Callithrix jacchus: one gene and its partners. The protein of the gene in region 1 purifies or fractionates together with the protein of each later gene. This does not show direct contact. Links are inferred from orthologs where the notes say so. Each region holds a gene or a part of one and is shown on either strand. Other genes may lie near its edges. The genes, in order: MECP2, DDX56 and YBX1.

Evidence for each region.
Region 2: the proteins of MECP2 (region 1) and DDX56 purify together in Homo sapiens (affinity purification with mass spectrometry; 3 studies listed by BioGRID and IntAct, with this or other methods). This does not show direct contact. The link is inferred for Callithrix jacchus from reciprocal best matches to the Homo sapiens genes MECP2 and DDX56.
Region 3: the proteins of MECP2 (region 1) and YBX1 purify together in Homo sapiens (affinity purification with western blotting; 3 studies listed by BioGRID, with this or other methods). This does not show direct contact. The link is inferred for Callithrix jacchus from reciprocal best matches to the Homo sapiens genes MECP2 and YBX1.

Annotation. Positions count from the first base shown.
Region 1 is NC_133524.1:150,008,690-150,012,439, reverse strand, and holds the start of MECP2 (methyl-CpG-binding protein 2), read left to right. Parts: upstream 1-1,143; 5' UTR 1,144-1,176; coding exon 1,177-1,235; intron 1,236-1,706; exon of another isoform or gene 1,707-1,867; intron 1,868-3,750. UniProt on the Homo sapiens protein: Chromosomal protein that binds to methylated DNA. It can bind specifically to a single methyl-CpG pair. It is not influenced by sequences flanking the methyl-CpGs.
Region 2 is NC_133512.1:12,665,335-12,668,984, forward strand, and holds part of DDX56 (putative ATP-dependent RNA helicase DDX56), read right to left. Parts: intron 2,946-3,650; coding exon of another isoform or gene 2,915-2,945; coding exon 2,855-2,914; intron 2,762-2,854; coding exon 2,600-2,761; intron 2,117-2,599; coding exon 1,956-2,116; intron 1,812-1,955; coding exon 1,641-1,811; intron 1,507-1,640; coding exon 1,416-1,506; intron 826-1,415; coding exon 581-825; intron 266-580; coding exon 146-265; intron 1-145. UniProt on the Homo sapiens protein: Nucleolar RNA helicase that plays a role in various biological processes including innate immunity, ribosome biogenesis or nucleolus organization. Plays an essential role in maintaining nucleolar integrity in planarian stem cells.
Region 3 is NC_133508.1:79,348,611-79,351,723, reverse strand, and holds the end of YBX1 (Y-box-binding protein 1), read right to left. Parts: intron 2,672-3,113; coding exon 2,437-2,671; 3' UTR 2,406-2,436; intron 996-2,405; 3' UTR 628-995; downstream 1-627. UniProt on the Homo sapiens protein: DNA- and RNA-binding protein involved in various processes, such as translational repression, RNA stabilization, mRNA splicing, DNA repair and transcription regulation.

The DNA of each region.
Region 1 (3,750 bases):
TTATTTGTATGCTAGTATGACTCTCCCGGCAAGAATGTTAGTCTGCTGTCTGTTCAGTACTGTGCACCCAGAACCTGGAAGAGTGCCTGGCACATAGCAGGTAGTCAATAAATGAATGGGGGCAGGCAGCCAAATCAGAACCAGGTTTTCTTGCTAAGCACAGAACTAACACAAAGATCATTGCATGGATTGGATAATGACTGGCACCAGGGTAAGGTCCCCTTAACAAACATCCCTGTCCTGAACGCCTGGTTGGCTAACACTTTTTCTATACTCTTATTTTCCCAAAACACAGTTGCTGGATCTCAACTGCAAATCAACTCTTCTAGGAAAGTGAAAAACTGCTGGATCTCAGCTCCCAAATCACATCTTCCAGGAAGACCTAAGTGCAGCTTTCTCTGCGCTCCTTATTCACACCTCCACCAAACCATCTGATCCAACAATGACAGGTGTCACGAGGCCTTGGCATGCACTCTCTTCCCCCGCCAGAGTTCTGCGAAGGCCAGGGTTGGGATTTGTCGTCAGTTTATTCCCCGCCCCTATGAGCGTAAGCACCCGGCAGGCTCAGATGAAATAATGCAACGAGTAGGCCTCTGAAACCAAGGCCCCTCAGCTGGAGCAACGTCAGGCTCCAGGGCGGACAACTTTGCTGCTTCTGCTGAAGATGGTGATATTGAGAAAATGCGGGTGCAATGCAACCCTTTTGCAGCGCACTCGATGCATCTGCGGACAGAGGGTTTGCTTGGGACGCAAACAACGTCCCAAGCCTACACCTTCACTTGCCCCAGCATCCGCAAGGGCCCATTAATCCTTAACATTCAAATTCCGCCCACTAAACCCCTCCGCGCCCAAGCCGCCTCTTTTCCCCAAACGACGGCCGAAAGCAGCCAATGAACAGCTAGAGGGGTCTGCCCTCTTTTCCCTGGCCGAAATGGACAGAAAATCTCGCCAATTGACGACATCACCGCTGAGACTCCCCGCCCCAACCCGGCCGCCCCAGCCAATGACGGGTGGGCTCGCAGCTGCGCCGGGGGCGGGGCGCGGGCGCGCAGGTGCAGCAGCGCGCGGGCCGGCCGGGAGGGCGGGGCGCGACGTCGGCCGTGCGGGGTCCCGGCGTCGGCGGCGCGCGCGCTCCCTCCTCTCGGAGAGAGGGCTGTGGTAAAAGCCGTCCGGAAAATGGCCGCCGCCGCCGCCGCGCCGAGCGGAGGAGGAGGAGGAGGCGAGGAGGAGAGACTGTGAGTGGGACCGCCGTGGCCGCGGGCGGGGACCCTTGCTGGGGGGCGGGGGACAGGGGCGGGACGTGGCGCGGGAGGGGCCCGCGGGGTCGGACGACACGGCTGGCGGATGGCGTCCCTCCTCTGTACCCTCCCCCTCCCTCCGCCGGTGGCGACTCTCCCCCTCGGCCCGTCACCCGTGCTCGCGGGTGACCGTCCTCGGCGCGGCCTCCCCGGAGCCTCCTTCGCCTGGCGCACCTCTTTCTCCCGCCCTCTGCGCGCATCCCGGCCCCCGGCCCCCGGCCCCGCGGGCGCCGCTGTCGCCGGGGCTTCGCCTGTCGGGGCTGCGCGCGCTCCTGCCCTTTTCGGGGCTTTGGGCCGCGGCGTCGTCGCGCGCCCGCGGCCCCGGTCTCTCCCTGGATCGCGCTCTCCCCTCTCCCTCCCTCGCGCGCCCCCTCTCCCGTTACTCGGCCCCCCCACCGGCGCGCGTGCGCACTTCGCCTCCCGTCGGGAGAGTGCGCCACAAGGGCTCCTGCGCTCTCACCCCCATCTCCGGGCTTTGCCTCCCCCTCCTTCTCGCCCATTCCATGAATTTCTGCCCCCACTGCGAGCGAGTCGGTCCGCCGGCTCCTTTCCCCATCTAGCAGGAACAAGTAGGTGGGGATTATTGTCCACAAAAGGGACTAGACATTGTGTTCTGGGTCCCACAACTCATCATAAAGGGGTGGTTATAGTTCCCATCAGGAGCCGTGGGTAGGGTGCTGTGCGTCCAGCAGCACCCGAGGCTCTTCGGCGCCTGAGGCTCTTAGGTGTGAGCGTGTCCTCAGGGTGCTCAGAGGTTCTTTGGGGGTGCTGTGGCCTCGGAATGTGAGCACCCTCCCATCCTACCCCCCCTTCGCCGGCGATCTTCCAGTTACATAAGTGGAGTGGGACATAGTAGGTAACGGGCTCTCATCGCCCTGGAGCGCTCCGGATCACCGGTACGAGATGGGGCAAGTTTATCGCGACGCTGTGGCTACTGTTCATTGTGCCCGAAAGGTTATTCTCTGTTGAGTTTGGTTATGACCGAATCACCCAAACTGAAACTCAGATGACTTTTGTGTGGCAGTGGCAATGTTTCTGTGGTTTTGCACTAAAGACTTAGGGTCATTATGAAGAGTTTAAAAGGATTGCTCTCGAAGGGGAGACCGTTTATGACATTGATAAGTATGGACCCCGAGGGGGAAAAAGCTCATTCTGGAATTGCTCTGTGGGGGTTGCTTCTGTTGTGAGTGTGTTCGGGTGTGGGTTGGTCACAGCAGAAATGGGCTCCACCACAAAATTGATATTCCTGACTCATGGTCAGGCAGATGTGTGCTTCTGGTTATTTTTCCAGGAACAAGAATGGGCTCTGCCGAGCCTTTCACAGGTTGTCTGTATGCTGTGTGGGATCAGTACCCCAAACTGTTGAGATAACAGGATCGAATTCAGGGCTTGGTTGGTAATCGAGGAACCAAACCTACTTGGATCTGGTATTGAGTGGCCTGAACATTGAAGGGCTCTTCTAAGTTATAGGCATTTTGTTATACTGTAAAAATGAAGTATATACGGCCTCGGTAGTATCATTGCAGTCATAGATAATTATCACTCTAGAGAATTTTGGATTCCGTGCCTGGGATGTTCATCTGTGTCTCAGCAATTTCAGTTAATAACCAGAGTCAGCTGACCTCTTGGGTCTTTTGAAATATGCTAGGTCCCTATAATAAGACAGGGTCTGGATTTTTTCATCTTTTGGGAATTTCCACCAAGGATTTAGGAAAATAGGCTTATTTATGGGCTTTTCAGGATTTCTGTTTCAAATCCCAGTCAGGAGTCTAGGAAACACTTGCTTTTATTTTCTTACCTGGATATGTCAGAACCTTAAATAACACAGTCAATCTAGAAGTAGTAAGTACGGTTATTAAAATAAGTCACCAGAGGTCACCCATTCGTGGCAGGTCAGCTAGGTGGCTGATCACTGGAATACAGTCACATCCCCAGGCAGACACACAAGCCTCACTTGATGATCACAGAGTTTGTACATCTCAGCTTGAGACATGACAAGTTAAGGTCTCTGCTTTGTTCTTCATAGTTGGCAGTTTGTCTCCCTGGTACCCCTCCAGTTAGCTGTTTGTCACACGCCTAGCCCTTTCAACAGCACAGGCAGCTTCCAGAGTATAGTTTTCTCTGCAGGGTGCCTGTTGGAGGGGTACCTCCCTTTCCATTGTCCTAACGGCTTGAAGAAAATGTCGAAGGCTTTCTTGTTAGCACTGGCCTATCAAACCTTTCTATTGCCTGTTATTAAAATTTTGCCTGGAATACTTTAGAGTACCGGGTCTTTGTTTCACCTGATTGGTAGGAGAGTATCATGCAGTCAGCCGTATTCTGACTTTTGTGCTGTTGAAATCCTGAGGTAGGTCTGGGGCCAGGCACAGACCACTGTGTGTTCAAAGAGTTAGGGTGCTTGCATTCTGTGTGTATGTGTTTGTGATTTCCAACGAGTCATTTCCCGTGCCTG
Region 2 (3,650 bases), on another chromosome or scaffold:
CACACTACCAGCCAGGCCTGGAAGGTTTGGCTCCCTGCTCTGTGCACTCTGCTTTTAGTCTTCCAAAAAGCTAAAAAACAAAACAAAACAAAAACAAAAACCCACGTTTTTCTGAGGAGGGATGGGAAAAGCAGCATGGACTCACTTATCCCCTTTGGGCCCTCGGCCCCGACGTTTGCCCTTGACCGGGGCCCCCAGGACTTCAGCATCAGTTGCTATGACACAGTCGTAGAAGCCTTGGTTGAACTGTGAGATGATGTGGCACCTGCAGCCAAGAGTAGACAGAGGATCAGCTTGGCAGAGCAAGCGTGAGGCCCCTCTGCCATCCCTAGTATTATAGTAACTATCACCCTTTCTTTTTCCTCTTCTTAATCTCTTTCCCTACTTAATCATTGTGCCTCAGTTTCCTCAACTGAAAATAAGATAACGATAGGTATATCGGAGTTTGAAGAAGTCAGTCAGTATCAGTCACATCTAGAACCTGGCCCCTACTAAATGTTTAAGAAACAGAACATTAACTGGGTCCTCTTTCTGTCTCTATCTTCAACTGATCTCAACCAAGATGTTGGCTGTGGCAGACCTGGAGCGCAGTGGAAGTTCTCCATTGAGCACACAGGTGGGGATGCTGAACTGCTCCAGGAACAGGCGTAGCCGGTAACTCCTCTCTAGGGTGTTGACAAAGAGCAGAGACTTGCCCCGAATCAATGACAGCTTGAGCAGCGTATACAGCAACAGGAATTTGTCTTCCTCAGTCTCACAGACCACTTGAAACTGCTGTAACTGGTCTGGCCCAGGCAGCTGGGATTCCTGTAGCTTAAGGGTAACCTGGGGAGAAGACAGGTCTGTGGTCAGAAAGGAAGAGAACACAGAGATGGTATGGCCACTTACTCACCAACCAAAATATCAACATTTCAGTGCAGGCATTTCAGGATTCCTGGCACCCTAAGTCTCCTCCAGTTTTGTAACATAAACCCAAAATGCCCTAACTGCTGTGGTATATCGAGTATACCACAGGAACCATATATAAAATACTTCCAGGCACAGAACGAAGAGAAACACATCAATAAAGAATTACATCAAGTGGGGAAGGCCTACAGCAACCAGCCTTCTGAAAGGTAAAGTTTACTTAAGATGAGAACATTGGCCTTAGAATTTTGGCTCTGCTGCTCAAAGCCACCCATTATGTCCTTGCTCAGGATTTTAGGCCAAGTATGGCCTGAAATGGGAGACATCCCTTATGGAGACGTGGAAATATATAGTGATTTTAGACCACTGGCTTTTAGTGCCTCAGAACCAGGGATGAGACACTGACAACTATCCCACCCAAAACACCAAAGGCTCCTCTAAGAAGGAGTGTCAAGATCTTCGAGTACCCCCATGCCTGCAGCTCCAGCCACTTCCATGGTGTCCCTTACCGGGTTATGTAATACCAGCTCCTTGAGTGCTTGCACATCCTCATTAAAAGTAGCTGACATGAGAAAAGCCTGGTAAATCCGGGGCAAGTGACTGAAATGAGAGTCCAATGAGATTCCAGCTCCAAGAGCCTCTAACTGTGGTAACTGGCTTCCCGCCATCCCACTGTAGTCCCAAATCCTACTCACAGATGTTTCCATTAGGAATCACACCCACCTCTGCCTTACCAGAGGAGACTCTTGAGCTCTTCCTCAAAGCCAAAGGAAAAAAGAAGATCAGCCTCGTCCACCACCAGAAGCTCCAAGGAGTCACGAAGTTTCAAGCTGTCTTGTTGCAAGTGGCTTAATATGCGAGATGGGGTCCCCACTATCACATCTGGCTTCTCCATCAGCACAGCTCTGAAGGTGGGCAAGACATCAGTATCAGGGAGAACGTAGCAGCTGGATCTCAGCCTGGACTTGCTCTCTTTTTTGCCACACATAAACCCAACCCCACAACTCTGTGTAGCTTCATTCAGGTGCAGCTTTGCTGCTTTTACCCACCTCTGAGAGGCTAAGTCTTCAGCAGCTGAGACATTGGCCACTCGGACATCCCGAGCACAGTAGGTAGCCAGCTGCTGAATCATGCACTGTGCTTGTCGTGCCAGTTCCTTGGTAGGAACAAGAACAAGGCCTCTCACTGCCTGTTCTACCACCGGACCTGTCTGTAAGAATATGAATTAAAAACTTTAGCCACCAGTGCATGTCACTGTGTCCACCTGATCCTTTTCTCTACCCGTTCCAGCCTATCTGACCCATCTGCTGCCACACTGCTCAGCTGTATTTTGATCATCCATCACTCTGCCCGCCTCAAAATGCAGAGCATTTTCCCCAAGCACTGACCCTCAAAAGAATAATGTACTCTATGTTTATGAAGCTACTTTAAATTTATGGAGCTAAATTGTCACAATAATTCTATAAGTAGAAGAGAAATTGCCCTTTTTATGTAATAAAGAAAAGAAAGTGCTCTGTTGAAGATTACACAAAAGTTGATCATAGCAGGGCCTAGACAAGGATCCAGGTAACCTGAACTCCAGGCCAGCCTGCATGGGTACAGGGCCAAGAGAGAACCTCAGACAAACGGGAACCGCTCTTCCCAGGCTTTGGGGGCTCGCCTCCTTCCTCCCCTCAGCTCTCTCGTTACCCACCGCCTTCCTGTGGAGCAACAGCTGCAGCATCGGAATAGCATAAGCGGCCGTCTTCCCGGAGCCCGTGCGGGCCCGAGCCAGGAGGTCCTTCCCCTCTAGGGCCAGTGGGATGGCCTTTTCCTGGATCAGCGTAGGTCGCGACCAGCCCAGGTCAGTGACAGCCTAGGAGAGACCAGGAGTGCGGCTCAAGCGGTGCGAAGAGTGATGGTGTGTCCCGTGGAGCCGGTAAGCCGGCTCCCCAGCCCCCCCGTGTACCTGCAGGAGCCGGGGATCGAGGCCCATGTGTTCAAAGCCCAGTGCTTCCGAGTCCGCCATGGCGCTGCTCAGTAGCGGCAGCACGCACGCCCTGCGAAAAGAATACCACTGACGCGGGGTTGGCGCAAAGCAACAACCAATCAGCTTCGGAGACGCCGTTACTTCCCGGAAGTCCTGGCGCCTAGGCTTCCGGTGTTCTGGCGAAGCTCTGCGGCTGCGCAGAGCCTGACTCGGTCTAGGAGGCCGTGGAGCGGTTGTGCTCCGATCAGCGCGTGTATACCCTAACTGCTCATTTTTTCTGTTTGTTTTGAGACAGAGTCTCGCTCTGTCGCCAGGCTGGAGTGCAGCGGCGCGAGCTCGGCTCACTGCCACCTCCGCCACCCGGGTTCAAGCAATGCTCCTGCCTCAGCCTCCCAAGTAGCTGGGACTACAGGCGCGCGCCACCACGCCCAGCTAATTTTTGTACTTTTTAGTAGAGACGAGGATTTCACCATGTTGGCCAGGATGGTCTCGATCTCTTGACCTCGTGAAACGCCCGCCTCGGCCTCCCAAAGTGCTGGATTACTGGCGTGAGCCATAGCGTCGGGCCAACTGCTGTGTTTTAAAAAATCTTTTTAGGTGGCAACCTATCTGCAGATATGACACACCAGTGTGGAAACTATTATTCTCCTCACAGCCACTAGCTGTTGGCCCATCCACTGGCTATCCCAATTGCATCTGCCTCATCAGCGGAAAGGTGAAATCTATGCTCAGTTTTTCCTCACACCATTACCCTTCCTATCAAAAACTACCGAGA
Region 3 (3,113 bases), on another chromosome or scaffold:
GTCACTTTCAACTACATGACTGATAATTCCACAAAGCAAGCCAAAGACATCTAACAAAACAATAGAAAACAGCCAGTCTAGACTTAGGCTGTCAGGTGTGGAGAACCACCTAACTACAAGTTGACCAACCTCCATGTTCTTAAGCAGCTTTCCCATGGGTTTTTGTATTATTTATTCCCATTTCTAGGACATAAGGAGCTGAACCAGTATTTGGTGACCACATCAGGCCCTGTAACAGGTTCTCTGAACACTTTAAGTTGGCATCTTCAATTGGCATATTGAAATAAATTCTCCCTAGGTGACAAAACTAAGTGGAGAAGGATCAGAATCTGGCCAGTCTAGACTAGAGCATCCCTTGTAAGCACTGCCACACAGCCAAAGGAACCCACACAAAATCTACACCACAAAGTCTTCCTTAAAAATGGCCAGGTTATCAGAATATGTATTTTCTAATTTTCAGTATGAACCCACAGGCATGCCACTTAAAAGGATTAGAGATTTTAAAGACATTTTACCTGAGGGAATTACCAGTGAGCATCATCTATTTGTAGACTGGGCTAAGGGTCTTATAAATACCTAAGAACTTATAAACTAAAGCAAAACTAGACAGAAATTTACACAAAGACAATTATTTAAGACCTTTATTAACAGGTGCTTGCAGTTTGTTGACTTTTTTGAAAAAATCAAGTTGTAAACTTTTATTACAAATTAAAAATGAAGTTCTTAAAAATCTCAACTTGACCAGATATGAAACAATTTAAAAACCTTTAAAGGCGTATTGAGAAAAACCAGGCTTTTTTAAAAAACACGTTTGTTATTACCAAAAAGAGACATCTTTAGGTAAAAATAATAAAAACCCCATGCTGCATAGATAATGCAGATAGTTCTATTTATCTGGTCAACAGGCAAAAGCAAGCACTTAAGGTCTTCAGCTCCAATCTTTTGTTCATTTCTTATTGCTGGAATTTCTTATTTCTTCTTGTTGGATGACTAAACTGTAAAGAAAAAAAACAAAGATGATCATGTAGAATTCATGGTAATCTTCATTTAATGTAGTACATACTCTAGTTTACATTACTTATATATTGGGAGACATTAACAGATCTTTTGCCACCTAGCAAATCATCTCTGGTTGAATGCTAATTTCGGAGGGAACGACAATCATACACCTCTCAGTATCATGCAAAAAGCTGAATGAAAATGAATCCCTTAATTTTGAAATTTAAGGTTAACAAAAACAAGTGAGCTGGTAACAAGAACGTAAATGTATCATGTGGTCTGCCAGAGCATTATTATTATTAACCTACAGTTTGAATAAACCAACAAAAAACAACTACAGATGATTACAGTGGCTCATGCCTGTAGTCCCAGCACTGGGAGGCCGAGATGGGTGGATTACCTGAGGTCAGGAGTTCAAGACCAGCCTGACCAACATGGAGAAACCCCATCTCTAGTAAAAATACAAAAAATGGGCCGGGTGCGGTGGCTCACGCCGCACTTTGAGAGGCCGAGGTGGATCACGAGGTCAAGAGATCGAGACCATCCTGGTCAACAAGGTGAAACCCCGTCTCTACTAAAAATACAAAACATTAGCTGGGCATGGTGGCGCATGCCTGTAGTCCCAGCTACTTGGGAGTCTGAGGCAGGAGAATTGCTTGAACCCAGAAGGCGGAGGTTGCGGTGAGCCGAGATTGTGCCATTGCACTCCAGTCTGGGTGACAACAGCGAAACTCCGACTCAAAAAAAAAAAAAAAAAAAAAAAAAAAAAATACAAAAAATACAAAAAATTAGCTGGGCGTGGTGGCTTATGCCTGTCACCCCAGCTACTCAGACAACTGAGGCAGGAGAATCACTTGAACCCAGGAGGCGGAGGTTGCAGTGAGCTGAGATCACACCATTGCATTCCTGCCTGGACAAGAGTGAAACTCCAGTCTCAAAAAAAAAAAAAAAAAGATTTTATCCATGTTGCCACTTTACCCAAACAGACTCTGTCACTGTATAGGTTCATTCTAATAGCTATACTACTTCTTTTATTAAATAATGCATAAATAACAATGTTAATTAACTTTTCTCAGAATACAGCTAGGGAAACTTTTCTCAGCTTACTGGTCAAATCACAAAGTTCAGAAAAGTTGATAGAAAGCTCCAATAGTTCAAAAAACTCATGAAAATACAGGTCTCCAGTGTCAGAATTGAGAACTAGCTGAGGGGTGGCCAAATATGATTCTGATACTCAATACTCCTAAAATGAAATATTTAGGTAATTAAGAATAGGGCAGAACACAATGTAAATAACATGGCTTTCGTTATCTGATAGAATTGAGTTTTCCCCACTCTTGCATTAATAAAATGAAATGGACACCATTCATGACTGCCATAAATGGTGGCCATCCAGGGTTGCTTACCCGGATGATGGTAGAGATGGTAAGCCGGCATTTACTCAGCCCCGCCCTGCTCAGCCTCGGGAGCGGACGAATTCTCAGCTGGTGGATCGGCTGCTTTTGTCTCTTTGCCATCTTGTGGTTTAGGGTTTTCTGGGCGTCTGCGTCGGTAATTGAAGTTGCGGCGGTACCGACGTTGAGGTGGCTGCTGACCTTGGGTCTCATCTCCTTGATTTTCTTTATCCTCTTCATTGCCGTCCTCTCTAGGCTGTCTTTGGCGAGGAGGGCCCCTGCAATAAATGTTGTCAAACTTAAGAATGATAAAACCTCTTCTCTTCAACACACCCACCAGCAGTGTTACCATTTGGTTCACTCAACTAATTCATCATGCCTAGCCTGTTCTCTGTATCAAGTGGCCTGTAGGCAATTTGTGTAAGGAGATGGGAGTATAAACTGGAAGATGACTTTTAAAAACTGGTTTTAATGGACTAGCAAACTTTTTTGTTCATAGCATTACAGAATGAATCCTGAAATAGCTAATAGTAGGCAAATGCCATCAACATTTTGCTGTCATTCTAAAAGATCAAAATGGGCTAAGTGGTAAACAAATTTGTAAACAGTATAACCTTTACAGATGAACAATTCCTAAAAAGGCATGTGTTTAAAATCCAGCCTGTTCAAAACCAAACATGTTCCCTTCATAAAAGTAACAGTATACAGCAACCATTTGTC